2 linked regions of the Yarrowia lipolytica genome follow. Each later gene encodes a partner of the first gene's protein in a complex. Links are inferred from orthologs where the notes say so. Each region holds a gene or a part of one and is shown on either strand. Other genes may lie near its edges.

Region 1 (16,445 bases):
ACCACAACGTGAACCTGCTACCCCAGCAGTATCTGAGCTCATGAGGAGCTCACGACGAAGCATGGCGTTTGGGCGTAATCCACGACAATCATCATTTGGGCTCGTACCACAAACTCCCATGGCGCCCATGCACACGCGTGATCCACGTCCAGTGCGCGACCGACACTACCAACAGCAAATCTCACAGCAGATCTATGAGTATCTGGTCACGAACCACTTTGAGCAGGAAACCCGCCACCCACTGAACCAGCGGACGCTCAGCAACCCCACTCAAAAGGATTTCAAAACTATGTTCGAGTGGATCTTCCGACGCATCGATCCTGGATACCCGTTCCACAAGAGCATCGAAAACGAGGTTCACGCGGTGCTACGGGCAGCCAAATACCCGTGGCTCGATAGCATCACGAAATCACAAATTGTTGCCGTGGGAGGCCAATCATGGGCCTACTTTTTAGGCATGCTGCATTGGATGGTGGAACTCAACACGACGATAGAGAAGTATCACAATCATGACTACTCAGGAGATGATGGTCCGTCGTTGGTAGACGAAATCTTCAACAGACACGCACGTGAGTCGTACTTTGCCTATTTACAAGGCGATGACAGATTTGCCCGTCCTGATGCAGAGCTCTGTCTCGCTGAAGAGAACGCCGAGTTCCAGGAGATTCTTGCCGAACAGAGAGCTCAAAACCCGCTACCAGAGGGCGAAGACGATGAATTGGATGAGGAACTGTCACGTCTGGAAGCCAAATGGGGCAAGATTGAGGAGGCGAAACTACTAGGGAAGAACCTGGCCGACGATATCGTCAAGTTGGGTGCATTTGTGGATGCTCGAAAAGAACACAATGCCCGATACGCTTCTCAGATGTCCCAGGCGACAGCAGAAGAAGACAATGTGACGAGCGAGGTGGAGTCTCTCAGCCGTCAAAAGCTGAAACTGCAACAAACAATCCAAGACCAGGGTCTATCTCCCGCCGAGCTGGACAAGCTGCATTTGGATATGGAGCGTCAACAGAAGGCGTTGAACTCACTTGATGAGATAATCGATGAGGGACGTCAGGTTGTGTCAAACAAGGAGTCTACTGCCCTGGCAGTCTTTGATGCTCTTGATCGTGTCATCAAGGAGTATACATCGTCTGTTCTGTCCTACAATGCCTGGGTGGCATCAGACAATGACTTGCCCGAGATCCCAGAATCAGTCTATTTGATTGATCTGCGTGAACCTCTCTCCGAGGAGAACCTGGGACGCCACCCTTCTGTGATCCTGGGTGGAGTTGATCCTCGTAACCAGATTCGACCTGAAATTGTGAGAATCTGCAACATGGTCACTTCCAAGGTCAAGGCCCTCCAGGAAGAGGCTCTGAGACTGCAAGAGGAGATTGAGACCAACCAGGAGAAGCTCGTTTCACAGAAACGACACATTGGTGAGCTGGAAGCCAAATCTCGACGCCTTCGAGAAACCAGAAACGCCCTCGAAGACTCCGCTTCCATGAACGAGAACGAAAACTCCCAAAACACGGAGCGACTGGAAAACCAGTTTGTCCAGGCTCAGAGTGAAACTGCTCTTGCTCAATCACAACTCAAGGGTCTCCAGGTGCGACTCCAGGACGCAGAGCATGAACGTAACAAGCTCTCTGTGGAAGTCCAGCAGGCCCGAGAACGCCTGTCACAGGATATTCTCAAGCAGGCTGAAGTCATGGTGGCTTTCAAGGCTATGGTGCAGACCAAACTCCAGGACTTCGAGATGTTTGTTCGTGCTAACGTGGAGGAGGAGATTCGAGGAGACCACAACTAAGGTGATATTACACGCGGCATTTGCTCGTGTGTAAATGTATTTATATGTATTATATGGTGATTTATATTTATTAGCGGTTACGTAGTTACAAGAGGCACGCGTACGTACACACCCACGTGGTCTTTGGTCCACAATAAAACATTAAATAACATGCACAGTGTCTATATAGATTCCCTGTTGTGGGATAACTGGGAGATGCAAATGCAAGTCTCACGCGGCAGCAGGGACTGTAGAGGACTCCTCACTCAACTGCTCGGCGATTGACGGCTGGCCACGAACCTTGGAAGACACATATTCTTGGACGTTATTCAGTCGCTGTTGCAGAGGGGGGAATTCGGAGCTGCTCTTGACAGGCTTAGGCGGCCGCTCAGACTTCCATGCGCCCATGACGCACGACAGAGCAGTCATGATGGCTATGTCCCGGTGGATCTTGGTCTCGTCAATGGTAATGTCGAACCGCAATCGCTTGGGGTTCTTCATGTTTACAAAAGCAATCCGCTCGCGAGTTTCATGGATGCCAGCATCGAGGTTGGTGCATTTCTCAAGAAATTTGGTAGTCGAGTTCCATTGGTACATGGGATCTGAGTTTGTGTAAGGAGCCGTGATCTCTCCAACTGCTATCGCAGGGCTTGGGGCAGAGTAGGCCGCAGCACGCATCGGGTCAGCAGATGGGGTGTTGAATGGGTTGCGTGACTGCCAGACCTGTGGGGTATCAAGATCGAAATCAGAGTCATCAACCTCACCACCACCAACCTGGGCAAACAGCGTAGGGTTCAGAACTCCACATTCATCGTATGACGGCAGAGGGTCCGAGTTAGATGGACGGGGAATGTTGGTCTTACGGAGAGAAAATTCGTAATAGCGACCATACTGACGTTTCTTGCACACCACCTTCTGGAGGTCACGAGTTTCATCACGGATGCAGAACCTCGACCCCAACGATGCAGTGCTAAGAGACGCCACCTGGACTCGGTCATCGAAACACAAGAGGCTCCAGTGCTTTGCGTGACGAGATTCTCGTTCAAGTGTGTAGATGGGGACATCCCATTCGTCCGAGATGATCACCTTCTGCATCGGTGCAGCCGGGTCAGTGTGGATATGATATGTGTTTGCGCGCACTGACAGCGGGATGATGTACGCTGCGTTGTGTTCTCTGGATGACTTGTATGCCTTGTGCACACTGACACCACCCATGGCTAGCGACACGACACCGCATGCAATTAGAGTACCAGCCACAGCAATTTCCATGTTTGAAGCAGTAGCAGTATGAGGTGATTGGTATCGACTTAAGAGGGTAATCTGTAAAGGTGGCTCTGTCGGCGTTGGTATCTGTAAAGGTATCTATCTGTTGAGTATCCGTGACAGTGGTGCTGTTGTGGTCTGTTGTATGTGATGTGGGTGTATCTGTGTCAGAAGTGTGGCGCTTTGTGTAATGAAGTTTTCGGTATCAAATCTTGATGGTATCAGTTGTGAGTAATATCAGTGATACTATCTATAGTTCTGTGCGAGCAATCTGAGGATGTCTCTCAGTTTCTGTGGTTCGACTAGAGCTGGTGTGTGGAATGTGTTGTGAAGGAAGGAAAGGCAAGCTGAGTTCAGCGACCCCATAATAGCTGTAAGTACATATGGGTACGAGTCTAAGTGAAGTTGATTGCCGTTGAGGTGCGCACGTGAGCTTATCTGAGTTTTGAGTTTTGAGGCTGAAAAAAAATATGCGAGACTGGAAAAAAATTTGAAGGTGCAGATAACAGTTCTTTTCATACATTTACACAGCTCAACGATACACACCATGGGTAGCAAATCCGCCACAAAGGACATTTCCAAGATCAAGAAGGCCGACAAAAAGGACTCCAAGAAGGCCGTCAAGGCTACTGAGCCCGCCTCTGAGAGCGGAGCATCCACCTCCAGTGATGAGTCTACTTCCAGTGATGATTCTTCGGACTCTGATTCTGACTCTAGCGACTCTGACTCCAGCGGTTCAGATTCCTCCGACTCTTCTGATTCGAGCGACTCTGATTCCAGTGACTCTGACTCTGACTCTGACTCTGAGGATGAGAAGCCTGTGAAGAAGGAGGAGACCAAGGAAGAGAACGAGTCTTCATCTTCCGACTCCGATTCTGACTCGGATAGCGACTCTTCCTCCTCGTCTTCTGACTCCGATTCTGATTCTGATTCTGATTCTGACTCCGATTCCGCGGACGAGAACGAGAAAAAAGAGACTAAGGAGGTCAAGGAGGTCAAGGAGGACAAGAAGGAGGCCAAGAAGGAGGCCAAGAAGGAGGCCAAGAAGGAGGAGTCTTCTGATTCCGGTTCTTCTGAGTCTTCCGATTCTGACTCCGATTCTGACTCTGACTCTGACTCCTCCAGCTCTGACTCCTCCAGCTCTGACTCCGATTCTGACTCTGACTCCTCCAGCTCTGACTCCGATTCTGACTCTGACTCATCCAGTTCTGATTCTGACTCTGACTCCGATTCTGATTCTGATTCTGACTCCGATTCTGACTCCGACTCTGATGACGAGAAGGAGACCAAGAAAGAGACCAAGAAAGAGACCAAGAAAGAGACCAAGAAAGAGACCAAGAAGGAAGATGCGAAGGATGTTGAGATGAAGGATGCTTCCTCTGATTCCTCTGATTCCTCTGATTCTTCTGATTCTTCTGATTCTTCTGATTCTTCTGATTCTTCTGATTCTTCTGATTCGGACTCGTCTTCTGATTCGGACTCTTCGTCTTCCGATTCGGATTCTTCCTCCGACTCCGACTCTTCGTCTTCCGATTCGGATTCTTCCTCCGACTCCGACTCTTCTTCCTCGTCGGACTCTGACTCCTCTGACTCTGACTCGTCTTCTTCGTCGGACTCTGACTCTGATTCTTCTGATGAGGAGGAGCAGCCTCCTGCCAAGAAGCGAAAGGCGGAGGAGATTGAGGTGGAGTCTCTGGTTATCAAAAAGCCCAAGACTGACTCCCCTGTGGACAACAGCTACGTGGAGGCAACTTTCGAGGAGGAGGGGGGACGAAAGTTCTTCTCTCGAATCGATCGAACTAAGATCTCCTTCGAGGACCAGTCTCTCATGGACAACACATACAAGGGCGCCGCCGGAACTTGGGGTGAAATGGCCAACGACAAGCTGATGAAGGTCCGAGGAAAGGATTTCACCAAGGGCAAGAACAAGATGAAGAAGGGTGCTTACAAGGGAGGATCCATCACCATGTCTTCCGGCAGTTACAAGTTCACCGACTAAAAGGACGTCTGACTGCTACTAACTTATTATTGTATGTCAGCCGGCCACACCAGCATTTTATAATTATACATCGTCGGTTGGCGACCAAGTGTATGCTGTTAGATATAGAGAATACACGTGTACGATATTGACGTTGATTCGGAATAGTAACCAATGCATTGTAGTTGCTACGGACATACGAGACAAGTGTTGTTCCGAACAATCTTGGAGTGAATCGAATGTACAGTATGTACACAGCATGTACATACTGTACGATACTTTGTAGTTCTATACTTCGTTCAAGCCAACTGTATTATTACCCTGAGAGGTGACTCAGCCAGTCAGAGTAGCGAAGTACTGTAATACATGACTGTGAAGTTTTTGAAACCGCCGATACACAAACAGTGATGATTTGGTCCTATGCATCCCACTTCCATTTGTACTTGTATTAATACCGTTTACACACCCTTTCATAATCGTCACTAACATCAGTCTACTATATATGCAAAGTCGAATGTCTCCCGAGTATGGCACGTACCGCACCGTACCTTCAGTCACTGGATGGAACCTTGACAACCCATAGAAAGGAACTAACACGTCACAGACCCCACTCTGTTCGTACATTCCACGCCATGGTAAGCTGTAGATTGCCTATTGCGCCCTTTTTCATGCGGCTAAAGGACATGATTAACATGATCCACGAAGGTGGCAAATACATGCGTCTGCAGGCCAGCTATAAATAGACAGATGAGAGGAACGAGCAAGACGAGGATAGCGATGATGTGTTATTAAGCTAGATCACATGACAGAAAGCAAGATTGTAATAATTCATTGTTTTTTCTGGAACATTTCAATAGTGAGAAGCGCTGTCTATGCAGAATACTTACAGCATCTTCGAGTAAAACAATTCAGTTGGGGTTCTACTGTATGTACCATGATAGTAAAGCCACCAAAGATTAGCATTCGGCATTAACTTTCAGTCGTACAGAAGCTTGACAGATGGGGACATGGGCGTACGACAGTGGAAGAGGGGGGAAGTGTAGTTAGAGTGGTTATAGAATTCTGTTTGAGTGGTATTGGGGACCGATTGGAAGGCAAAAGAGCACTTTTTGTGGCAAGCTACCAATTCGGTGACAAAATAGAGTCCCTACAGTATGTCAACACCCCCAAATCTCTCTTATGAGCCTCCCTCTCGAACTACTTCAAGGTGTGTTCACCCTCCCAGGTTTCGAAGCTTAATCGGACAGATAAAGCACTGGCGTATCCACATCATCTTTGACAGGCAGACCTCCTACCCAGGCTCCAACGACCACCATTCCACCCATGATAGTGCCGCTAATTATTGTGGCCGCCGCAGTATGTTCGGCGGGCGCACTTGCGTACAAGGAGCGCGATGTGATCTGCGATTACGTGGAGCACAAGCTCATGGAGAGACGGCTTCGCAAGCGAGCTTCTGCCGTGCCAGCCTCATATGATCGGGATGGAGGGCACTCAGATTCAGATCAAGCGACACAGACCCAGACACATACCTCTCAATCACAAGTGCATTTGCATTCGGCTGTCGGATCAGAGGAGCCACACAAGGACGACTACACCGAGGAGATTGAAATGTCATTCAGAAGACGCAACAAGAGAGGCACAAGCATAGGCTCGGACAAGACGGTGGGCTCCAGCGACCCCAGCAACTCCTACAACTCGTTTCACATGCCGGAACCGCCACAATCGGACACTCAGCAATATTGGAGCAGCTCGAGCCAGTCATCAGACACCAGTGGTTCGGTAACACAAAATAGACGAGGATACCCACGTCAGACGTATGGGCATGGCCATGGACAGCAGCGTGCAGGGGCACGTCCTGCCTCCATTGTTTCAGAGCAGCCATCGCTCAGTTATTCAGCCAACAGTCATGGGGAAAGCACATGGGGCTCTTCGGCATCCGATATTTCGTCCGACTACGATTTTGCCGACGAACGGACTTCTTCCGAGGGAGAAAATGTGGTTGTAGTTGACCCTTCAGCCCCTTCCCTGTATGAATACCACGACGTGAATACTCCATAAACATACATTCACAATACATTAGATACTAACTGTTACATACCAAACAAGATCCCGGCTGGGTTGTGTACGATACAAAGTAATTGCACAGGTAATGGCGAAGATGCGTCCAGCGTAAGTGCCGTACCATACTGTACGAAATTACTTGAAGTTACTAGAAGAGTATTTTGACATCTATACAGCTTGTGAACAAACTCAGTCTTGATCGTATCGCAAAATATTGTACATAGCATGCAGGTACATACGAACACGATGGGACACACATGGATAAGGAAACAACAGCAAAAGACAAAGAATACCAGAGGGCGACTACGGCTCATGGTAACCAAGTAACCATGAGGCCACGAAACTTCATATTTATATATCATGCAGCGTTACCGGGCGCAGACCCTAGCTTTACACCTCTAATAGACCAAGTACGTCTACTGCCAAACGTGCAAAGATTATCATCACATATGAAGAGTTCGCCCCTCATCGACTCAAGTGCAACCGACGTTTCGATCTCGCTCAGAGAGAAGCTTCCATCTATTTATTGTCAACCCTCTTAATGAATCTTTAAGTTACCTGAACTTGTATCTCGTCAGTTTTGTAATATTCGCCACAGTATATCAACCTTCTCAATGTTATGTCTATCAATTATTTATATATGCTACAAGTAGAACCCCTATCTCTTTCCGGAGTACAGCTTCTTGACAAATGCACTCTGCTTGGAAGGCTTTCGCAGATCCTTGTTTCGGTTCTTGTTGGTCTCAATGTATGCCATATCTTCTCCACCAGCCAGCGATGCCAGAGAACCGGTGGTTCGCTTGGCACTGCCTCGCTTGTTGGAAGAACCTCGGCCCACAAACGAATCTGCGTTGTCTCCTTCTTCGAGAGTGGCAGCGTCCTCGTTCTGTAACAACACCTCCTGCAGCAGCTCTCGTCGCTCACGAGCAGAAGCATAAGCCAGATCGGGCAGATTCTCCATTCCATGCAGATGTGTAATCACCTTGAACGCATAACCCTGATCGACCAGGAAGGCCTGTCTTTTAGTTGAGTAATACATCTCCTGGGTATCCTTGGACACTAGCGAGTAAAAGAAGGCATTGAAACCCTCATCGTTACGTCGCTTGGCTCGCAGAATACGACCCAGACGCTGAGCCTCCTGACGTCGAGAGCCGTAATGCGACGAGATTTGAATCAGACATGTAGCCTCGGGCAAATCGATGGAAGTATCTCCGACCTTGGACAAGAAAATGGTGTTGACCTGGTCATTGTACTGGAAGTTCTTCAGAATTTTCATTCGCTCCTGTTGGGGAGTGCCACCGAAAATGAAGAACTTTCCAAGCTTGAGTGCATAAGCCTTGAGAGCATGGACGTTATCAGAGAAGACAATGATCTTGTCACCTCGTTTTTCGTGGTAGTTGATGAGAAACTGGGCAGCCTGAAATTTGGAGGGATTCATAATGTAGAGTAGCATTCGCTTTCGAGCGTTCTCCTTGAGGTACTCCTGGTAAAACTCTGAGGTCATGGGGCACCACACTTCGGCACACTGAACGTTGGCGATATGACCCTTCTGGGCCAAGTCCATCCAGTTGGCCTCGTACAGCTTGGGGCCAATCAAGAAATTCAGGTCGTCAATCTTGTCATCTTCTCGCACCAGGGTTGCAGTAAGACCCAGCTTTGCGTGTGCGGCAATGTTAGTAACGACCTTTCGGAACATGGCGGCGGGCACGACGTGAACCTCATCCAGAATGATAAAACCCCACTCTCGAGACTGCAAGAAGTCCATCATCTTCTGCGAGTCATGGGATCGGTTCCGGGTGTTGGCTACCATTGAGTAAGTAGACACAACGAGACCAGCATCACCAGAGAACTTCTCCTTGCTCTCGGAAGTGAACACAGCCACGTTCTCAGGCTGAATAGTACACCACTGCAGAAACTGCTGTCTCCACTGCATGACGGATACGGAGGAGGTGCAAAGCACAATAACGGACTTTCGGATGGTGCAAGCAGCTGTGATACCGACCAGAGTCTTGCCGGCTCCACATGGCAAGACAATGATACCAGAACGGGCTCGTCCATTACCAAACATTTTAGACAGCGACTTCTCCTGATAGGGTCGAATCTGGGTGGACGACTTGAGGTCGATATCCAGATCGGGGTTACCATGATCATTTCGGAAATCATACTCTTCCAACACAGGGTAGTCAATCTCCTGACATCGCTTCTTCACAGTTTCGACTGAGTCAGGTGCAATCTCGAACGAGTGAACAGCGTCCAGATCGTCATCATCATCGTTCTCAATACCAACAACATGAGAGAAGATATCCTCAGCGTCTTCGTCAGCCTTCTTCTCACCGTCCCTTTCTCCATCCTTACCTTCCTCTTCCTTGGGCTTCTCTGTACCGGGAATCTTAAGATCGCCCATCTTAGGTGCCGACTCAGTAACAAGACCGGAGCCTGTGGTGGACTGTTCCGAAGCCTCCAGACGCAGAGCACCGATAACAGGGTCCTTGAGCAGCATCTGCAAGACGTCTGCCTGTGAAGATTCCACAAAGTATCGATTATGTTTCAGAACCAACTTGACCTTACCATAAGACTTTGTACATGAGTGGATGAAGTTGATGATACTCTTGGGGACTGGGACCTTGGACAGTCGGTTGAGAACGGAAATGATGTCAGAAGTCTCCAGACCCACTGAGACAGCCGCGTACAGAGAGTAAGTGGTGATTCTGTATTCATGAATGTGCGAGGGACGAGAGATGGGTTCTGCAATGGTCACCAGGAAGTCCTGAGCCTGCTCTGCAAGTGGCGAAAAGGATTCCAGAATGATTCTACCGTCCTCGGGGTTAATCCACAAGGGTCGAGCGGCATGGTCTGGCTTCAGCTTGAGGTATGAGAAGTCGTGCTTACCGAAGATGTTGGATACACTGTCGGGCACGTAGTCGTCAGGGATCTCCGAATAGGTCGAATGCACCTTGGTATCGAGACCTGATGTGGCATCTCCAGGGTCCTGTTCCTTCATTTTGATCTTAAGACGGGTCTGAGGCACCTTCTCGTATGTCTCATCGTCGGAATATGAATCGTTGGAGTCGGAGAAGGAGTCACTGTCGAGATTGACGTCGTCAAACCGACGTTTAGAAGCGTCTCGCTTGGATCTGAGCATTGTGGATGTTGTTAAGTGGTGGGTGCTGTTGGGGTTGCTGTTATGTGATGTTGATGATGCTTGAGAATGCAATTAGTGATGTAATTTTTAGTGTATGAAGATGTGAAATTGGTCTCTGTGTGAAACTTGCTGCTTTATTTCGTCTGTCTGTGTAGCCTGTGAATCAGTGTCAATGGGGTATGAATACGTTGTTTCGCCACTGTCGACCAGTGTACACTCCAGTCTGAACACAGTTACCTGCACGCTGATTCCAATATGCAAGCTGGGAGGAGTTAGGGCTTTTTAAAGTTTGGAAGATTTTCCAACACTATAAAAGGGCTTTCATGTTCCATCTTACTTCTTCTTTAACCATGACACCACTATAGACAGTACTGACTGGATAGGTGGGAAACGTTGGATGTGGAGGCCGGAGGAGCTACCGTTCTGGTAGAGACGAAGGAAGCTGCAGCCAGTTCGCGTGGCCAACCGTTGAAAATAACTTTCAAGTGATTTCTCGGTGTCTAGAGGAACCCGGGCTTTTTAAGAACTTCTTGGAGCTTTTGCTTTGAACAAGGGGTGTCAGAGAAGTCCAACATCTTTTTATATAATCGTGGTACTGTTACTGTAGCCCTTATGGCTGGTCGTTCCAATTTGAGTCAGAATCTTGATGTCTGAGTCACTTTGGTATCAGAGCACGAAGAATTCATCACATCACCAGTGTGTACAGTACACATACTTGTACGCTCAGCGAGAGCTACAAAATACGTACTGTACAAGAATGCGGTACGCTTGGAAGATGTTCTTCTCATTGTGGTTTGAAAGAGCTGCTTCACATTGACTTATTGCAAGAAGTTGATGCGAGGCACGTCTATTCAGCATCTTTTGTTCCATAACTGTCATTGTCAAGTGACGTTGAACTAGTTTGTTATCGATGGTTGAAGGTGACTCCCATATGTTTTGCATTAGCAAATAAGTTGCAAAACAAAACAAAACAAAGGCAATAACTTTCCCTTCGCATTCTATCTACACAATCAATCTATTTAAACGCCCATCCACCTCTTTAATTAGCTAGTACTTGTAGTACACTTCCACACCTTTTACTCATCAATCTGGTTCCCCATGAACCCTGATTCACTTACGCTCACACTGCATAGGCGGCGATTGCTCAAGCAGGTCTTCCTCTGTCTGTCTTAATCTTTCATCACAACCATGTCTTCCAAGCGTGCCGTCAAAACCATTGTTTCCTCTATTCAGAAGCTCTACCCTCGAGCTCTCGCAGACTCCTCTTGGGACAACACCGGCCTACTACTGGAATGCCCTCTGGACACCGAACCTGAGAAGGAGAAGCTCAATGTGCTGCTCACCATCGATCTGACAACCTCTGTTGTCGACGAGGCTATCCGAAACAACTCCGGAGTTGTTATGGCCTATCACCCTTTTATTTTCCGAGGCCTCAAGTCTATCACCCAGTCGGACTCCCAGCAGCGATCTCTGCTGCGACTTGCCCGGGCTGGCATCTCTGTCTACTGCCCCCATACTGCCGTTGACGCTGCCGTTGGAGGTGTCAATGACTTCCTGATCGACGTAGTCTCTCTCGGAAAGGAGAACGAGGCCTCCCGGGAGGTCTGCCAGCCCGTAGATGGCGTCCAGGGACAGGAGGGTGCTGGCATGGGCCGAGTGGTGCGTCTCAAGGAACCCATTACCTTCTCCGAGCTGCTGAAGCGAGTTAAGACCGGTCTGGGACTCAAACATGTCCAGGTTGCCCTTACCGAAAAGCACGAGAACCCTGAGGCTAAGATCTCTTCCGTGGCCGTCTGTGCAGGTTCTGGAGCCTCTGTTCTGCGAGGTGTTGATGCAGACGTGCATTTCACTGGCGAGCTTGGCCACCACGAGGCCCTAGGTCTCATTGAAAACGGTACCTCTGCCATTGTCTGCGGTCACTCCAACACCGAGAGAGGCTACCTCAAGACTTTCCAGACTCTGCTGACCAAGGAGCTCAAGAACCAGCACGACGGGGAGGTTGAGGTCATCATCTCTCAGACCGACAAGGACCCTCTCGAAATTGTCTAAGGGGATTGTCTACAAAAAAGGGGATGTATATAGTATCGAACGAATGGATGATGGAGTATTGAACGATGTAAGATGTGAGTACTGTACTGTAGTTATCGTCCGTTTCAATACTGAATTGCAGTGATTAGAGGGTTCTGAGCAGTGTATAAAATCTACTCTTTTGCAATAATTACAATGATTACTATATATTCTCTAATATCGTAGTGTACCTTTGCAGCTCCATCAGCATACAGTCATAAAATACATACTAACGTCACCGATATGCGTTGCTATCCTCTACCAAGTAGTATGTAATTTGCAAAATAGCTAAGCATGCCCATACTTTACACACCATCAATCCTCCTGGTACAAGTAGTACGGACACCCATGCCCATACTTTGTTATCCCTGCTTGCTTTACTTCGTAGTTGAAAACAACCGGAGAGCTGTCTTCCCTCATGCAGCACTTGTCACGTTTATGCCAATCGTATGGTGTAGTCCTCTCCACTAGTGGTAATGTATCGAACCCAAGGGTAAGAAGTGTACTGCAGCTTCGGCTCGACAATCTTCAGATATCGAACCTGAATACCCGAGGTAGTAAAGTAAGGAATGGAGAACTTGACTTGGATGGGTCTCTTGCTCTTAGCCTGCTCATCAGCGTCCTGAACGGAGGGAAGACCCAACTCCGCTCGCATGGAGAATTCTCGTCCTCCTCCAAACTGCTTGATCTTCCACGTGACACATGCCTTCTCAGGGTGCCACTTGATGGAACCTGCGGTAGCAGCCAGCTTAGGCGAATCGGCATCTTCGGGAACAGGAATGTGGATTTCGACGTTGTTGGCCGTCGATCGCTTCTTGAATTGGCCACGGGCCTTAGCCAGAATCTCAATACGCGTGTTGGAGTACTTGTTGATCTTGCAGTCAACCCAAATCAGCGGCTTGACGGTGGTGTTGAGGCGGTAGCTCATGAGCTCAAACTGGCCATCCGGAGGGATGAACGAAATAGTTCTATCGTTCTCAAATCGCGAAAGTCGCACACACTGGTGGAACTTGACGTCCTCCATCTCGATGCTCTTTCCTCGAGATGCACGAGCAGATCCGCCCGATCCGCCTCCCCCAGCACCGGTGTTGCTCACATGGTCAAACAGCACCTTGTCGTTAAGTCCCAGTCGCAGTTCAGGCATACCAGAGAGGTAACATTTCATCTGGACAGAGCCGAGAACCTCAGAACGCAGAACCTGGCCCGAAGGAGACATCAGCAAGTTGACAGCCTCAACAACATCCAAAAATGCCTCGTTCTTTCGGTACTTGATGCCTTCGGAACGCCAAGACACGGCGTTCGTGACAGCCATAGGGGGTCTTGGTTGCTCTTTTGGCACCTGGGCGATTTCCATGGCGATTTCGAGAATGTGGGACTTTTGGGTGATGTACTCCTTGAGGATCTTTGTGTCGGTGGTCTGTGGGAAACCGTAGTCCATCAGCTCGTCCAACAGCTCGTAGATGAGCACAAAGTTGTCTCTGATTGACTCCTCCTCTAGACCCTTGAAGTATTCTGTCAGCACCTGGACGACCCGATGCAAAAACAGCAGAATCTCGGCGGCATTAGTGTTGCGCTTCGTCAGAGCCAGCAGGTACAGGTTGTTGTGGGTAATGTACAGGTAGTTGACTCCCTCATGGGTGAAACACGGAGGGACGACAGGTGACTCCTCCTCGGCCTGCAGAAGCAGCATGGGGAACTTGTCGACAGCCGACATAGGGATGTCGCCGCGGTAGTTTCGCGATAACAGAGGCTTTCCCTTGAGGTCCAGGAAGAAAATTGCCGACGCCATTGTGTGCTGTGTGGTGTTGTAGTGAATGTGGTGATACGTGTGAGTTTTGACGTGGAGGTAATTTTGAATCACGTGATGCACACTTTGGAGAGAGCGTAGTTGGGTGGTGCGAGGAGATGGAAAAGTGAATGTTGGTGGAATTAATAAAGAGGGGCCTGCGGTGTCTTTGGTGTTGTTCTTTGACTAAATATGAGGGGGCCTACACGTTGGATGAGTGTGCTGTTTTCTACACGGATTATCGTTTTTCATCTTTGGGCTTGGGAATGTGGCAGTGTCCGGGTTGGGAGATCCTGACTAAGAGAGATTATGAGGAGGGCATAAGGGATAGGTTCAAGAATGATTGCATTGATATCATCGTAGCTCGCTGTGTGATATCATTGACTCAATTGCTTCAATGTAAATTGCAGCAGTCCCTGGAGATATGCCAATGTGGGTACTATGAGACCGCACCGAAGAGATTTTAAGTACTCGTACTTTTATATGCCACCAAACGGAGACACTAGAGAGCTCGCATTGGATACAAAATAAGATCCTACTTGTACAAGTACAGTATGTACACTACAGTACCGGAAGTTGTTTCGTAACACTGCACACTGACAACGAGATGCTTACTTGTCTTCTCTGCGCGTGTATTTCCTTGGGTAAGGTTCTGAAGGGAGGACGCTTCAGAGATGCAGGCGCTACAGTAGGCCAAGTTACACTGCTCTATCACCACATTTCAATGACTCCTTGACATGTCTGATCTGACTAACCTGCTGGCCGAGTTGTCGCGTGTGCAACCTGCAAACAGTACGCCTTTCTTTACTCAGAAGGACCCACTGAAAATCACCACCTATGCCGATGCTCTCAAATACACAGTCCATGAACTCACGAAACGGCCTGAGTTTCTGACTGAGGTGAAACGGCTGATGATAGAGCAGCAGAGACGACTGGCCCAGCTCGAGAAGGAATACAATGAGATCGATGCGAAAATAGAGGCCCAGAAACGTGACTTTGAGAAAGTCGACAACATCCTAGCATCAGTAGGAATCGGAGGAGGAGGGGGGGGATCCAAAAACAAGAAGCCACCCACGAGGGAGGAAGCCGAAAAGGCATTCCATGCACATGCCCACAAGACGCTGACAAACATGTACGATTACATCTACAGGCGTTTTGAGGAGCTGAAGATCCCTTTGTTCTACACTAGTCCTGAAGCCAAGGCAAGAGGAGGAAAGCGAGTGAGAGAGGGCCAGAAGGAGCTAGTTGAGTTTCTCGAGATTTTAGTTGAGTAAAAGAGGTATTCGTTAAAGAAAGATGCAGAAAAAAAAAGAAAAAGATGCGTGAATGCAAGCATACCAAGCTTACAATGATCAATAATGACCAATGCCCACACATCTGTCAGCTGCTGAACTGCAACTGGGAACAAAGGAACTCGTACTTGAACGACAGCCAGAACTATTATAGAGGTGGAAGCATTAAAAAAAACCACACTCAACTCCCTGGTCCAGACTGCATGATCCTGGCGCAACTTACACCAGTCCCGCCCCATAAATGGCTTTACGTAGGAGTGAGTTTCATAGGAGACAAGAGTCAGTAAGTAAGAGGTTTATCGACACAGCTTGGCCCATTGCAAGACAACCGCGTAAGTCAACTGACTGAAAAAATTCTATAGACTTCCCCATACACACTCATCTTCTATTGTCTCATCTGGGCAACGTGCCAAGACAACGGTCATGCAGGGAAGCTAAGAAGGGCTGAAATAAATCTAGATGGTGTGTGTAAGTGGCGTGGAAAGCGACGTCCTAGGATTTGAGAATTGAGCATAAAGTCTTCGGTGCAAGAGGGGTGATCGAGGTGAGCTTGTAGGGTTACATTCGGAAGAAAAGCCGTGCGATGGTATTCATAGAGAGACGCTGCAAGTAAAGTCCGAGAAAGGGATGGGGAAGAGGGTCGTATCCAGGTAAGTAAAAGAAACAACAATAAGCTGGTAACACCAAAAGACAACAACTAGTACAAGAGACACCGAACGATATTCTGTACTGACATGTTCCTCAATTACGCTCCATGCTCAATACGTTGCAAGTAGAAGATTTACTGTAGAGTGGAACTACTGTGAGCTGTAACGATAAGTTTGAGCGAAGAAGACGAGAGTAGAATATTTTTGTCGGTTATGTACCGGTACGACTTAGCAATTGTTGTACAAAGTAAGTATATCCCCTCATTGCTCTAGGCATGGTGTTGGAGACTGAGCTGCTCCATATTATGCCAAGTCAACATGGCTTCGATATTGGTGGGACGGTGGTTGGGCCACAAGGAATAACTAATCGAGCAACGGTCCGTCATAAGCACTCAATATTGACCTATTGTATGCACTGTACTACAAGTAGAAGCC
Region 2 (16,020 bases), on another chromosome or scaffold:
CAATCGAATTCAGAGCAAGGTGTTCCCCTGTGCATTCGAATCTGACGACAACATGCTTATTTGTGCACCCACCGGTGCTGGTAAGACCAATGTTGCATTCCTGGCCATGCTGCGGTGCCTGTCTCATTTCAGAGCTCCCAATGGAGGCTTTAGAACCAATGACTTCAAGATGGTGTACATTGCCCCGCTCAAGGCTCTGGTCCAGGAGCAGGTCCGAGAGTTCAGCAAGCGACTCAACTCCATGGGATTGAAAGTGTCCGAGTTGACTGGTGATCATAATCTGACTAAGCAGCAGATTGCAGAGACTCAGCTGCTGGTGACCACGCCGGAAAAATGGGATGTCATCACCCGAAAGGCTGCCGATTCCAGCTACACCAACCTCGTCAGACTGATTGTTATTGATGAGATTCATTTGCTGCATGATGAGCGAGGACCTGTCCTTGAAAGCATTGTTGCGCGAACAACACGTCGGTCAGAGCAGACTGGAGACCCTGTTCGAATCGTTGGTCTCTCTGCCACGCTTCCCAACTTCAAGGATGTCGCATCGTTTCTTCGAGTTGGTGAGACAGGTCTTTTCTACTTTGATTCCACTTTTAGACCTTGTCCTCTGGGACAGCGGTTCCTTGGTATCACCGAGAAGAAAGCTTTCAAGCGATACACAGCCATGAACGACGCATGCTTCGACAAAGTGATTGAAAACATCAAGGCTGGACACCAGGTGATTGTCTTTGTGCACTCCCGAAAGGAGACCGCCAAGACAGCTCGAATGCTGCGAGATCGTGCCATGGACGAGGGCCTGCTGCCTCTTTTTTGTGCCTCTGATGGCAGTCGTCGAACTCTTGCAGAGCGTGCCCAAGATCCTGAACTCGATGCCACACAGAAAGAGATCATCGGAACTGGTCTCGCTACCCATCATGCTGGTCTTGCACAGGTTGACCGTAAGGCTGCGGAGGAGCTCTTTGCTGAGGGACATGTCCGTGTTTTGGTGTCTACTGCCACTCTGGCTTGGGGTGTCAATCTTCCCGCACATACCGTCATCATCAAGGGTACTCAAATTTACAATCCTGCCAAGGGTCAATGGACCGAGCTGTCTCCTCAGGACGTTCTCCAGATGCTTGGTCGTGCTGGTCGACCTCGATACGACGACTCTGGTGAAGGTATCATCATTACTACCCACGGGGAACTCAACTACTATCTGTCGCTGATGAACCAACAACTCCCTATTGAGTCTCAGCTTATGTCACGGCTGGAGGATTCTCTTAACGCAGAGGTTGTCGGTGGCACAGTTTCTTCGGTGGGTGATGGTATTCAGTGGCTAGGTTATACTTACCTCTACGTCCGAATGCTTGTTTCTCCTGGTATATACCTTGTTGGATCTAATCCCGATGATGCCGCTCTTACTAACCGACGTGCCGACCTCGTTCATTCGGCTCTCAGCAACCTGGCCAAGTCTGGTCTCGTCATCTACGACACCAAGACTGGCCGTGTGCGTGCCAACGATCTCGGTAGAGTGGCTGCACATTACTACATCACTCACTCGTCTATGCGAACATACCGAATTTCTCTCAAGCCCCATTTCTCCATTGTGGAGCTGTTCCAGGTGTTCTCCGCCTCTGAGGAGTTCAAATATGTGGGAGTTCGCCAAGAAGAGAAGCTAGAGTTGGGAAAGTTGCTGGAATCGGCACCCATCCCTGTTCGAGAGTCCGTTGAGGACTCCACTGCCAAGATCAACGTTCTTCTTCAGGCTTTCATTTCCCGACTGAGTCTCGAGGGCTTTGCACTGGTATCCGATATGATATACGTGACCCAAAGTGCCCAGCGTCTGTTCCGAGCCATCTATGAGTTCTGTCTGAGAAAGAAATGGGCTCGACTAGCCCGAATTACCCTTGACGTGTGCAAGATGGTTGAGCAGCGTCTGTGGCTATCCTCTTGTCCTCTCCGTCAGTTTCCTGACTGCCCTGCTGAGGTTGCCAAGAAAATTGAGGCTTCTGCTATGCCTTGGAAGCGGTACTTATCGCTGGAGAATGCAGAACAGGTTGGAGAAGCTATCCGAACTCCTCGATATGGCACTCCTGTGTTCCGAATGCTTCAGAAGTTCCCCCAGCTCAAGCTGTCTGCTCGCGCACTGCCCGTTACTGCCTCTCTCGTGCGACTGGAGATTGAGGTGGAGCCCAGTTTTGAGTGGGACGTTTCTATTCACCATGGTTCCGAGCCCTTTGCTCTGACTGTGGAAGACGGAGACGGTGAGAAGATTCTTTACTCGGACTCGTGGACCCTACGGCGAGATTACGCCACTGAGACTCACTTAATTGAGGTGTCTGTCACTGTTGCTGACCCCCGACCTCCTCATCTATTTGTGACTCTGTCTTCCGAGAGATGGTTGCACGCCGACGCTCGTCTGGCTGTGCCTTTGCGAAACATTGTCTTCCCAGGAAAGTTCCCAGCCCCTACTCAGCTTATTGATCTGCAGCCTGTCCCTGTTGTTGAGCTAAAGCGAGCCGATTGCGCCGGGCTCTACGACTTTTCTTTCTTCAACAAGATCCAATCGCAGCTGTTCAGACCTCTTGTGGAGGGCGACGGCTCCGTCTTTGTTGGAGCTCCTCCTGGGTCTGGTAAGACTGTTCTCGCCGAGCTGGCTCTACTGAGACTGTGGAATGAAGATGCTGATGCCAAGACTGTGTACATGGCTCCCACACAAGCCCAAGTTGATGCTCGCTACGATGATTGGAGTCAGCGAATGAACGAGATTCATGGAGGAAAGACCTTCTCAAAGCTGTCTGGTGAGCTTGCTGCTGACTTACGGAAGCTGGCCACCTCCGATGTGGTTTTGGCCACTCCTAACCAGTGGGATTCTTTGTCTCGACGGTGGCAGAAGCGAGCTGCTGTCAGAGCTGTAAGCCTGTTCATTGCCGACGACGTGCATCTGGTTGGCGGCGATGGTACCTACGAGACTGTCGTTTCTCGAATGAGATATATCGATGTACAGTTGCAGGAGAGTGGTGCTGGACGACCTCTTAGAATTGTCGGACTGGGTGTTCCTGTTGCCGATGGAGTAGATATGGCTGGATGGCTTGACGCCACTCCCTACAACTTCAAACCTTGGACTGCTTCTCCTACCAATATCCACATTCAGTCGTTGTCCATCCCTCATCACCCTTCTCTCATGCAGGCTTTCCTTCGACCTACATACAATGCCATTCTTGAGCTTGCTCCCCCCAAGCACTCCCAGACTGTGATCTTTGTGGACTCTCGTCGAACTCTTGTGGATGTGACCATTGGTCTTTCCACGATTGCGGACGAGCAAGTTCTGGTGCCTCCTGTTCCTGAGGACTCCAATTTGGAGCTTGCTATGGCACAGGTGACTGACAACACTCTCAAGGAGGCCATTCAGAGCGGTATTGGCCACCTCTACCCCAGCATGTCTTCCAGAGACCGTAAGATTGTGTTGGCACTGTATGCTGAGCAGTCCATCTCCACAATCATTGCTACCCGTGAGGAATGTTGGACCTCGCCTCGTTCTCAACTGAGTGTCATTCTTGGTACCCAGACCTACGAGGGATCTGAGCACCGATACGTCAACTACCCCATCTCTACGGTCTTGCAGATGATTGGACAGGCTTCCAACGACGCCCTGGTGCTGACTCCCGCTGCTGCCAAGGACTACTACCTGCGGTTCCTCAACGATTCTCTTCCTGTGGAATCCAACTTGGGAGCATCCCTACATGATGCTCTTTTGGCAGAGATCTGTGAGAAAGTGATAGAGTCCATGGATGACACTGTGGCCTGGTTAACCTACACGTACCTGTACCGACGCCTGCATGCCAATCCTGGTTTCTACGGTGTCCCTGACCGATCAGATGATGCTCTCAACGTCTATCTTTCTGAGCTCGCTGAGACTACTGTAGAACAGCTTGTTGAGGCAAAGATGGTCGAGATGGACGACGAGGGTGGATTGGAGCCTCTCAATGCTGCATCCATTGCATCCTACTACAACGTGTCTTTCGATACTATGGCTACTCTCACATCTGCCCTCTCTCCCAAGAGTAAGTATAGATCTATCTTGCAGGCTGTCACCACTGCAGCTGAGTTTGACTCTCTTCCCATCCGAAACCACGAGGACATTCTGTTGAGACGTCTTTATGGCCACATCCCCTGGAAGCTTCCCGAGCTGGACTCTGCTGTTCTTCTCACTCCTGCTTTCAAGGCCTTTGTGCTGGCTCAATGTCATATTGCTCGGCTGAATCTCCCTTCGGAGTTGACTGCTGATCAGGCCGAGGTTGTCCAGCTGCTGCCTACCCTGCTGGCTGCCTCTGTTGATCTTCTGGCTTCTGAGGGCCATCAATCATGCATGTACGCAATGGACCTGTCCCAAATGGTTGTTCAAGCTACTCTTGAGTCTGATTCGCCTCTGCGACAGGTGCCTTTTTTCACTCCCGAAATCATCGACGATCTCAGGGGGGCGGGGGTTGAGGCAGTCGGAGACATTTCCGAGCTGGACGAGGACAAGCTCAAGGGCATTCTCAACTTTACTGCGAAGCAACTCAAGCGTGTCATTGACTTTGTGGACGCCTACCCAAGTATTCAGCTCAGCTATGAGCTTGCTGACTCTTACGCTACTAACGATGTCGGAACCATCGAGGTCACTGTGGAGAGAGATGTGTACGAGGAGGATGAGCGTGCTAATCTGGAGGTGGTTGCTCCCCTGTTCCCCCAGCCCAAGACGGAGAACTGGTGGATCGTGGTTGGAAATACCAAGACAAAGCAGATTTTTGGTATCAAGCGAGTCACCTTGCCTCTCGAGTCCCAGACTTTCAACATCGATGTCTCGTTCCCCGAGCATGGAGAGGTCAGTGGTCACGTTTGGTGCATTTGCGACTCGTATGTTGATGCGGATGCCGAGAAGAAGTTCACAGTGACTGTGGCTGAGGGTGAGGAAGCGGAAGAGGTTGAAATGGAGGAGTAAGAGGATGATCATAAATTATGTATATTATTATTGTATTGTATAACCTTGCATTGACTGTGCCTGTGGACTGCTCTTGTGTTTTAATTAAATAATGCTTGTTATATTATATGCTGCTACGGATATCTGTACGTACCGTTGTTATCGAGCAGCAATTTCTTTTTTGGCTTGTTCGACTTCTCTGAGACCCTCTTCAAGATCCTTTTCATCGATATCCATGGCATCCTCGGGGGCAAGTCGGTAACCTCCATCCTTTTTGGATCCCTGGTACTCCTGAAGCTGCTCCAATGACCACACTGAAACACCCTCCTGGTCTTCCTTGTTCATAGGCTGGGCCATAGTTCGCAAAAACTTCTTGGCTGCAGCTAGAGCCATATCTGTGGACAGATTTGTGTCAGCATCCAAAATGGCCTGGTTGATCCATTTGGGCAGCTGGTTTCGCTTCTTGGCAAAACGTCTGTCAGCCAACACCATGACACCGTAGTCATCTTTACCTCGCAAGACTCGTCCCAGACACTGGGCAGCATGGCGCATGGCATCGAAAGACAAGAAGTCGTTCTCTCGAATGTGGTAGTTATCTCGCAAAAACTCGAGACGAGCCTTCAAGATACGCGACTCGGTGTACTGAAAAGGAACACCAATCATAAGCACAGTTCTTCCAAACTGGTGGTCGAAATCGATACCTTCCGAAACCTTTCCTCGAGCGACACAGAGCATGACAGCGCCTCGACCGTTGGAGCAGGCAGTTCGGTAAGTTTCTAAGGCAAGAGAGGTTTCCTGAGCATCAGGAGTCTCGACCAGAATGAGTTTGTACTTCCACACTTCGTCCAGAATACCCATAGTCTGCCACATGGAAATGATAGACTCCATGTAAAGATATGAAGGGAAGAAGACGACAAGGCCATCAGGTGTGATCTTAGAAAATTCAATCAGAAGGTTACCGTAGTTTCGGACAACTGAAGGATCGTTTCGGATCTCGAATCGAGAACTGATGGCTACCTGGTCTGAACCCTTGGTCACAATGAGAGGACAGAAGGCTCGCCGTGCCAGTGTCATGGTGTACGACTCCTGAACCACAGTCTCGAAGTTCAACATTTTCGGGTACATATCTAGAGGGGAGATGGTACCGGATGTGATGATGATGCTTGAGAACCGATCAAAGACAGGCTTGATAGCAATGGAGGCGTCCAAACATGTAAGATGCAAAATGGGGTTAGGAACGGTGGCCTGATCGGTCTCAAAGGGCTCCAGAATGAGCTGGAAGCCGGTGTCGTAGGTAGACACCAAGGTGGCGAACACAGCAATCTCCTTGAGAGCAGTGTAATCATCGACGTGAGTCAACTCGAGGGTTCTGACCAGATACGATAGACGCTCAGCGCAGAATCGAAGAGGCTTTCGTTCAATGTATGTCAAATCTCGAAGATGTTTCAAGAACGATGCAGGGGTTTCGGAAATGACATGAAGCACCTTCATTCGACTCTTGAGATATTCAATGAATCGTTTCAAGAAGGCCACGAAATGTTCTGCCTTTCGAATGTTTCCAGGCACAGCTTCCGAAATAAGATCTTCAGGGAGCACAGGGTTAGCGAGAAACGTATCTTCTTGTTCTCCGGATTCCAGATCTCGCAATCCATCCACCAGTTTGTTGTATTCATTTTTCAATTTCTCAGAGTCGCTGGATCGGGCCTCACTGACCTTCTTGGCCAGATGGTTTGCTCCCCGAGTGGCTCGTTTCAAGGAGTCTTCAGTAATGTCGACAGACAGAGCCTCAATGCAGACGTTGTCGATATTATGGGCCTCATCAAAAATGACAATGCAGTCTTTGCTCAGCTCCTTGGAAACTCGGTCGGCGATCTTGGGATCGAGTAGATAATGATAAGAGTAGATGATGACGTTGCAGAAGGCCATCATTCGACGCACAGTAAAATAAGGACATGTCTTGTGCTCCTCGCCATACGCCAAAATGTCCTCAAAGGTGAAAACACCAGGTGGAATGTAGTTGTGAGGCTCAATGTCGTTCATGTTCTCGTGGTATTCACATAGAGTAACGTCTTCTCCTGCAGCCAGCTTCTGCTTGGCAATTCCAGATGTCATGGCTCGGCACTTCTCGTCGACAATGTAACCTTTCTTTTCGTATCGCACATTGGGATTCAGACACAGGTTCTTTCGTGAGGTCAGACCCAGCCCTCTAAAGTCCTCCTCAAAGCCTAGAGTCTCAGTTCGAAACTTCATGAGGTTCTTCAACTCAGCCAGAGCCTTCTCGATCTCCGACATTGTTCGGGAACAATAAATGATCTTTCGATGCTCGGGATAGTGTTGCTGGTACGCCACTGTCAGAGACAACAGGGAGACAGTCTTGCCTGTTCCTGAAGGCATTTCCAAGATGCAGTTGCCTCCCACGTCCAGGGTTTTCTTGATGTCGCACATGTAGGCATACTGCTCGGGATAGATCCGAGGGTATGGCCACAACACCGGCAGATCATCGATGTAGAACTTCATCTCTGGTGGTTGATCTGTCGCAACGAATGGTGCTACTGATATATCAAGGTTGTGTAATGCATGGCGTCGTGGTTAGGGTAGATTGTTTTGGGAGGAGCTGGGGATCTGAAAAATTTATCAGGAGTGTGTAAACGGCTCATAACCCAATAATGGTATCATTAATAGTAATCATGTCCGTAAGCTGTCTATCTGTTTACTTTTTAATTCTGATCTTGTGTGCATGTATTCCTGGATGCTCATAACCTCTGAACCCTAATAAGTTTTTTCAAGCGCTGTAGCTAAATTTTTTTTTCATCCTGCAGTCTCACACATCACACTACAACAATGGGCAAAGACAAGGGAGATATCACCGTTGAGATTGACGAGGTCGACAACTACGACGCTCGAATGGAGGCTCTGCTGCCCTTCGCCAAGCCTCTTGCCCCCAAGAAGCTCAACAAGAAGGTGCTCAAGACCGTGAAGAAGGCTTCCAAGGCCAAGCACGTTAAGCGAGGTGTCAAGGAGGTTGTCAAGGCTCTCCGAAAGGGCGAGAAGGGTCTTGTCATCATCGCTGGAGACATTTCTCCCATGGATGTCGTCTCTCACATTCCCGTTCTCTGTGAGGACAACGGTGTTCCTTACCTCTTCATCCCCTCCAAGGAGGATCTCGGAGCTGCCGGTGCTACTAAGCGACCCACTTCCACCGTCATGATTGTTCCCGGCGGAGGCAAGAGTAAAAAGGCCGACACCAAGGTCGAGTACAAGGAGAACTTTGACGAGATTGTCAAGGACGTCAAGAAGCTCGAGGATTAGTTATTTATAATGTACACTAGCATGAGAAAGGAAGGAAGAGGGTGTCAACTAATCTTGACAGTAGGGTCCGATGGTTAGGATAGTCGGACTAAATTATGTATAGAATGTTACCTATTCGATTTGTTGTTCGTAGTGGGATTGTCCGAGTGCAGCAGTACCTCCTTCAATGTCAGACGCTACAGTATGTACAAGTACCGGTACTGTAGATACTTCATACACTATTAAGGACTGTACTTGTGCTTTTTTCTGTATTGTAGTTGGATCCACGAGTGGAGGGCGTTGCTGCTGTAATATATCTTCTCGTTTCTTCATCAATAATTATCTAGATACTCTAGGGGCATGGTCTCATTACTTCGTCATCGGGCCTTGTCGTCTTAGTAGTGTCACCTTAGTGGTGGTGGTCCAACCACTCGAGAAAGTCGGGGGTAAAGTAAGAGATAAGGAGGTTGGCTCCGGCTCGCAGGTTACCGTAGGCCGCCTCGAAGGCCATCACCTCCAGATCAACAACGCCCTTCTCGGCAGCTGCGTGGATCATGGCGTACTCTCCGGAAACCTGGTAGGTAGCAATAGGCACGTCCTTGCAGATCTCAGCAGCGTCCACCACGATATCCAGGTAAAAGGTGGAAGGCTTGACAATGACGGCATCGGCACCTTCGGCCAGGTCTCGAGCAAGAGCTCGTCGAGCGAGACCTCGACCGCCAGCGGGGAGCTGGTATCGCTTTCGGTCTCCGTGGCTGGGAGCAGAGCAGGCAGCCTCTCGGAAAGGTCCGTACAGGTTTCCGGAGAACTTAGTGTAGCTCATAACCATGACGTTGTGGGCAAGACCGGCCTTGAGCAAGCCCTTTTTGATGTCGTGGATTCGACCGTCAATCATGTCCGAGGGTGCCACACAGTCAGCTCCTGCCTTGGCGTAATTGACAGCCACGGCAGCCAAACGTCGCACAGTTGTGTCTCGGATAACAGTTCCGTCCTCTCGAAGAACGCCGCAGTGACCGTGCGAGGTGTACTCGCACAGGCAAACGTCACACATGACAAACAGGTCAGGGAAGGCCTTCTTGAGAGCCTTGGTGGCCTGAATAACGGGTCCCTCGGGATCATCCGCAGCAGTTCCCTCAAGATCCTTAACACCCTCCTTCATAGGAACACCGAAAAGAATGACAGATCGGAGGCCCTTCTTGACCAGAGAGTCGACGTAGGGCACCAGCTTGTTGACGCCCCATCGCTTCTGGCCGGGAAGAGAGCTGATAGGAGTCTCCTCCTCGGGATCATCAGTGACGAAAAGAGGATAGATGAACATATCCTTGGTGAGGCGGTTCTTCTGCTGCCACTGTCGAGACAGAGGGTGGGCGTAACCGCCGCTCAGAATGGAGGAGATCTGGGTCTCGTGTTCTTCCAGGTACTCGGCTTTGTGGACCATGGTGGTGTGATAATGTGATGAGTGTGAAATTTCATGCACGTACACACTTGAGTTTGCGTTGTGGGGGAGTTTGGGACGGACAGCTCATTAAGCCAGCAGAGAAATAGCGTTGCTCTTGTAGTAAGAGGGTGTTACAGAAGCAAGGCAATGAGGTAGCTGGCGTAGACCAAGATCCTTACCACCTTCCTGGTATCGCTATACGACCTCATTTCCCGATTGGCATTACTGACGCTTTTCCTAGTCGTTAACTAAACAGTAGCCTAAAACATCAAGTAATCTCTTCCAGGTTGAATAACTCAAAATTCCTCCTCTTGCGCACGGCCCACAAGAAGGGTCTAGAACTTCGGATGCCTAGCAATTAATGTTGAGCTAGTCATGGAGCCTGTTTCAGACCCTCGCAGTAGAATATCGCCACTAAATATATCCGGGAAAAAAAACGCAACCCAATATGAAGCATCTACCACTACCAACATTCTACACTACGCAGTATCGGCCTCAGGCACACCCTTCATCTCACCGGTGCTCATAACCTCAGATAACGATACCGAATCTTATACCAAAATATCCAAAGTTAGTGCGGACCAAGTGCATATCATAAACAGCCTAAACTCCAGCTTTCAAACAGAACCATATGGACTGCCATTCTGAACACGTTGAACACGATCACGGTGACCACGGCCACGACCATGGACACGACCACAGTCACGTTCCCCAGCCCCATACCTCTTCGGCTCAGACTCTGTATAATCGGATTTCGCACGCTGGCATCCGAACCCTGAACGAGTCTGAAGAGGGAGCCGGAGCCTCTGTCTTCAAGGACTGGGAGTCCCGTCTGGACACCTCCAAGTACCTGGAGAGTGACGTGGACGAGCAGCTTCTTATCCACGTGCCATTCACGGGTCTGTGCAAGATCCACTCGCTGCTCATTCGAACCACCAACGACGACTCTGCCCCTCGACACATGAAGCTATTCAAGAACAGAGATGACCTCGACTTTTCCACCGCCTCCGATCTCACTGCCAACCATGTGATCGAGCATCCCGAGGGGGTCGGAGGCACTCTGGATCACTCCATTGAGGTCGCCCCTACGTCGTCGTCTCTGGATGAAGAGGGTATTGCTGAATATGCACTTTCGCGGGCCCAGTGGTCCAACATCACGAGTCTGACGCTGTTTGTGGAGGACAACTACGGCGAGGACGTGACCCGAATTCTTTACATTGGTCTACGTGGCGAATTCAAGGAACTTAACCGAGCCCCCGTCGTGACGCTGTACGAGTCAGCCGCCAACCCCGCGGATCACAAGAAGATTGTGCCTGGCGAGGAGTATGTTGGAGACACGCTTTAATCAGCCAATTCCAAGAACCTTTAGTACGTATCACCTGTATTTATTTAAACCAAAGTGTTGTATATATGAAGCCAATAAATATTGATGTTTTTTTATGTTCTTGACCAGTCCGCCCTGTGTGCTTTGTTTAACTTGCGTATATCCTTATTCTCACACCGTTTGAATTGCGATGCTGTATAATGCGGATGAGCCGGTCATGTGGGGAGATGAGCCAGCCACAACATCGAATAAGGGCAGATTGTGCGAAGCATTATTCAGACACTCTCGCGCAGACCCCTATAAGCACTCATACAAGTACGAGTAGCTATATACTTGCCCTATATTTCTCTATCGTACAAGTACTTGTTCTCGTTCTGGAGTAGCTATATATAAGTTAATCCTATTTACACTACAAGTACCATGTGCGATCTTGCAGTTAAAACCTGTGCGAGAGGGAAGGTCTCGATAATAAATAATAGACAATGAGACCCATGGAAAAATTAGCGAGTAGCTTGCCTAACCAAGAAAAAATAACCCATCATCCAGCCTGAATTATCTTGGGCACACTGGCTCACGTCAGCCTCATGACCCTCTTGAAACGCGACAGTCGAGAGGTTGCTGCAGGCGGCAGTTCTGCAAGAGGTATCTGCGTCTGCGAGGACAATGAGGGGCTATCATCTGACCCTGAGGTCGTCGTGGTGGTGGCTGTAGCTGTACTAGTGACCCTAGTATCTACAGTTGGTGTGGGGACCTGCCCATTGCTAGCCAGCCAGTCAGGCATGGGAGGGGGTGGGGGAATGTAATATTGTGTCTTGCACAGCGGACAAGACGCATTTCGATTAGTCATCCAGGGAGTGATGCAAGAGAAGTGAAACACGTGGTTGCACTTAAGCACACGGATCTCATCACAGTCCTCTAGCTGCTCGATGCAAATCGCACACGTATCGGGATCTGAAGGTGGCTCCACTCTGTCGGTTCTAGAGTTTGTTTCCGTGAGCGATAACGCAGATGCACCTGCAGAGTTAGATAACGACAAAAATCCCACATTACCGATATCCTCCTCCACGACGATGGTAGTGTGGTTTGCGGAGTCTTCAATAGCGTCATCGCTGAAAGCCTCCATTTCCTTTTCTGTCATGTTTCTTTCTGCGACTTCTTTCTCCAGTACCTTTTCGTCCACGCGCTTTTCGTTGGTGTATGTACCGTTTTTCCAGTCGGCGTAGCGTGTCATAGGGAAGTTGTCGTCCATGAATGCCAGCGACACCACCTTCTTTTGTCGCTTCCTTCGCTGCCTGGCTCTGGGATGGCCTCCTGTCATCACCATACCGCGGGCAATCATGGGAATCATGGGATCGGGAGATTGGTTCTCAGGATCCGACACAGCTCGTTGTCGCTGGCGTCGTCGATATAGGAACCGGATGCCCAGAATGATCCAGAGATTGACAAAGACAATTCCAAGAGCGAGGGCAATGAAGAACAGATAGTTCTGTGTAGTAGAAGTGTTGCGTTGTTGCTGAGAGTTTGGGTTTGTGGGGACACCAGAAGGAGGCCCACTTTGAGTTGATGTGGGTCCTAGAGTGGCCGTTAGTGAGGTGACTAAAGTGTTGAAGGTCGTAGGCGTAGCCGGTGTATTTGTGGGTGTCCCTGTCAAGATTGTGATCGACGCGGTGGTAGACATTTTAGGCCAGGTAGATGCAGAGACCTATATGCTGTCGGGTGATATGTAGATGTTGTGCGTGTGGAGGTTTAAGAAGGCCCTTTCTGCAAACAGAAACAAATGGATGGAGGTTCTTTGTCTGTGTACTGTAAGCTGTCTGTACTTGAACCGGCACTTCGATGTGTCAGTAAAACAATTCAGAGGGCGAACGGATGTGCACGAAACGAGCGGCTGTGTCCACAACAGGAAACCTTTGGGCGAAAGAGGTTCCAGAAGAATGGCAGATGCAGGAAAAATACACCTGGGGACTTTTAGAGTACCAGTCTAGAGGCGATCGGCTCGTTTTTATCGTAAAAAAGCGGTTGCATGCTTTTATATCAACACCCACCACCTTGCATAATCCGCCAAGATTTGCACATTAACTCACATGACCCTCAGCCTCACTGTCATGAACCCAAGTATAAAGAAGCTTATCCACGAGGCTCGTATCCACAGCTCAAGGTCATTCTAGAGATGTTTGTGGGCGTCCCAGACGCCGGCCCTCGGCTCCTCGTCCCATTAGGCAACCCCAGCATGGACTATATTTCGGTACCTTACTTTGTCTGTCGCCCGTACACCTGCCTCTTTGTCGCTACTCTCTTTATTTCGCCAAGAATTAATTAGTCTAGCAATTTGTGTTTTTTAGCCTTCCCATGTCTCTTACTTGGCACCCGGGGGTAGATCTTAATTAGTCACCGAGGACCAAAGACGCGAATTATCAACCCTTACACATCATGGCAGTGTCTAGTCACTCTGCGATTTTCGCACTATCAAAAACTTATAGTAACCCTGGCTAACCGCAGAACCATACCAAGACACGCCAATGCCCAGCACGTATAGACTGTCAATGATGGTTGCCGCCGTACTCAGAAAGCCAGCCACACTATACAAAGAGTTATTTGCTTCGTAGGGCTACATTTCCTTTTTTTATATCCTCTCTTCGTCTTTGCCACACTGATTGTAAAAGTCGATATCACATCACCCACTTTTTAGTCTCACGCACGTTGCACACGTTATTGCTATCGGCGTTCCACCCCACTGAAGCAGCCTAAAAACTGAGACTGACAGGGAGCGTCTTTAACGCACCCCTCCTAGCGCTACACCGTGGCGGAGTAATTATAAAACATGTCACAATATACATTTCATACTTAGTGAGAACCGGCTCCTCGAGAAACTCGCTCGAGAACAGATTCGTAAGCAACCTCGGAGAAGTCAGTACCCTGGATCTCGGTGGAGATACCGGTAAGAGCCCGTCGGAGAGAGTCCTTGGAAGAGGCGTAGATCATCTTGCTTCGGACAGGAGCGGTATCGGGAGACCAGGTGAAGAAGACAAGCTTGGATCGCTTACCCTCACCGCTGGAGATCTCGTACTCAAAGTCGTAGACGGCGTATCGGCAGTCGTTCTCGGGCAGCTTGCCGAGGAAGGTGTCGTAAGAGTCGGTGGTTCCCTCCTCCTCGACAACAATCTCGGTCTTGGCATCGTTGATCTTGTAAATGATGAAGGTGACCTTCTTGCCGAGCTTGAGCTCGTTGAAAGCCTGGAGGGCAGAGTCGTTAACGGCAACACCGGATCGGGACTGAGTTAGCTATGTATGACAACGTTGTGTTCCATCACATATATAAATCTCCACTTGCTCTGAATATTCCCCTTCCATATCGACCTGCTTCATCGCATGCTACAACGGCGAGCATGTTTTCCATCACCCCATTGTTCTCGTGCTTCAAAAGTTAAAGGGCAATACTGGGGCCTTTGTGGCAGAAGCCGCATATCGAGAGGGTCATATGCCGAACCAACAAGAATCAGACGAAAGAAGGTACAATAGGCGCGAGGCGGCAAAGACGTGGCTGGATGGTCATACGCTTGGGTATCACCGTGACAGCCGATGAGACATACGACACACCATTGTGCTTTTCGAGCAACATGGTTGAAACATCAATCTTGTAAACGCAGACAAAGTGACATCACCAGAAGGGGGTCATCATTCTTGCAGTTGCCATGTAGTTTGGTGGTGTCATGACTGTCTTTCTCGGATCGTTCAAATTGTCGATGCTCGTCTTATCACACCCCCATGATGCCATGAGTCCCGAACCCCAAACCCCAAGCGCCATTAAATTCCAAGTCGTCGATGTCGTCGTTATGACACAAGGATCATTCTGTAGACTCCAACCAGATCTCTCAAGTGCCCAATTCGCCCAATTGCATTGCCCGCAGGTCGAAATCCGGGTTGACTCCACGTTGTTTACTCACCATTTTTAATGAATAGGTTGTGTGTAGCTGAGAACTTGGGTGAGGTGTTGCCAGCTGTACGTTGCGGGAGCTTATACTTCCGGGTAAGTTGGTGCGGTCACGTGCATAAAAGGGGCACACTGACCAACTATAAATAGTGGTGATGTTAAAACAGCGGTGAGACGTCACGATCCGCACTAAAAAAGTGGAGTAATTTAACCCTGCAACTGTGGTTTTATTGTCAATTCTTCTAGTGCTTAACTGACAAATTAAATTTCTATATACATATATGCATTGATAATGTGGAGAGCTGGCATTTTCAGACTGTCACGCATTCACCATATTACCAGATATAGCCCATCTACAGCTACAGATCAGATGTTTTTTTCCCCCCTCCGAACTCCCTCGTGACTATTAGCAGTAATCATAACCTTGTGATTACTGTAGCCCCTCTTAATTGGTGAGGAAGGCAGCGTTTCGGTAGAAACTGGTCATGGGGTTCTCACCGGTCTTTGTAGTGGTTGCATCAAGGTCGGCCCATTGTTCCAAGAACTCCTGATGGGTAGAAATCTCAGGCACTCTGCCACACACGTGACGAAGAAGCTGCGCAGCAAGCTCAAAGTCGGTGGGGAAGAGAATATCGAAGTAACCCTGCAGAACCATATGTGTGTTAGTGGTGACCATCTGGTTGTCAAGCACTGTCTGAACCACAGGAGAGTTGTATCCGGAGAACCGTGAAGTGGTGGTCTCGGGCAGATGTGTGAAATCAGAAGACAGCAATCTAGCCTGGGGGAAGTACTTCTTGAGAATATACAGGAACTCGAGGTATCGAGTGGGGATGAACTCGGGGTCAGACAGTTCAGAGTGGAAGGGCCACATGAGGTTTCGGGCCTCTTTGTAAAGCCAAGGGGTAGACAGAGGATGGAAACCGAGTCTGCTATCGGGAGAGTAGTCCTCAAGAGCCTCCGTTCGGATCTGAAGGAAAAGCTTGGTCCATTCGTCGAGCTTCTGAGTATACACCTCGTGGAAGTCTCCATTGGCATCAACCAGAACATGACCCTGGTAGGGCTGCAAAGTTCGGTTATCGTATCGGACGATATCGTGG

What was found.
Region 2: YALI1_B15521g (region 1) and YALI1_F27663g share a complex: the UniProt entries of both Saccharomyces cerevisiae proteins name them as parts of the 7-subunit TFIIH core complex. The link is inferred for Yarrowia lipolytica from reciprocal best matches to the Saccharomyces cerevisiae genes SSL2 and RAD3.

Annotation. Positions count from the first base shown.
Region 1 is NC_090771.1:1,545,896-1,562,340, reverse strand, and holds YALI1_B15521g (uncharacterized protein), read right to left. Parts: upstream 10,219-16,445; coding exon 7,735-10,218; downstream 1-7,734. Other genes in the region: YALI1_B15624g (uncharacterized protein), read left to right, coding at 1-1,795; YALI1_B15592g (uncharacterized protein), read right to left, coding at 2,006-3,043; YALI1_B15587g (uncharacterized protein), read left to right, coding at 3,585-5,036; YALI1_B15560g (uncharacterized protein), read left to right, coding at 6,339-7,073; YALI1_B15509g (uncharacterized protein), read left to right, coding at 11,407-12,267; YALI1_B15482g (uncharacterized protein), read right to left, coding at 12,722-14,074; YALI1_B15475g (uncharacterized protein), read left to right, coding at 14,809-15,345; YALI1_B15460g (uncharacterized protein), read left to right, coding at 16,286-16,445. UniProt on the Saccharomyces cerevisiae protein: ATP-dependent DNA translocase. Component of the general transcription and DNA repair factor IIH (TFIIH) core complex. When complexed to CDK-activating kinase (CAK), involved in RNA transcription by RNA polymerase II.
Region 2 is NC_090775.1:2,758,933-2,774,952, forward strand, and holds YALI1_F27663g (uncharacterized protein), read right to left. Parts: upstream 7,460-16,020; coding exon 5,102-7,459; downstream 1-5,101. Other genes in the region: YALI1_F27574g (uncharacterized protein), read left to right, coding at 1-4,963; YALI1_F27667g (uncharacterized protein), read left to right, coding at 7,784-8,251; YALI1_F27686g (uncharacterized protein), read right to left, coding at 8,640-9,668; YALI1_F27692g (uncharacterized protein), read left to right, coding at 10,300-11,013; YALI1_F27701g (uncharacterized protein), read left to right, coding at 11,183-11,307, 11,353-11,461; YALI1_F27716g (uncharacterized protein), read right to left, coding at 11,564-12,670; YALI1_F27731g (uncharacterized protein), read right to left, coding at 13,837-14,265, 14,590-14,622; YALI1_F27758g (uncharacterized protein), read right to left, coding at 15,369-16,020. UniProt on the Saccharomyces cerevisiae protein: ATP-dependent 5'-3' DNA helicase.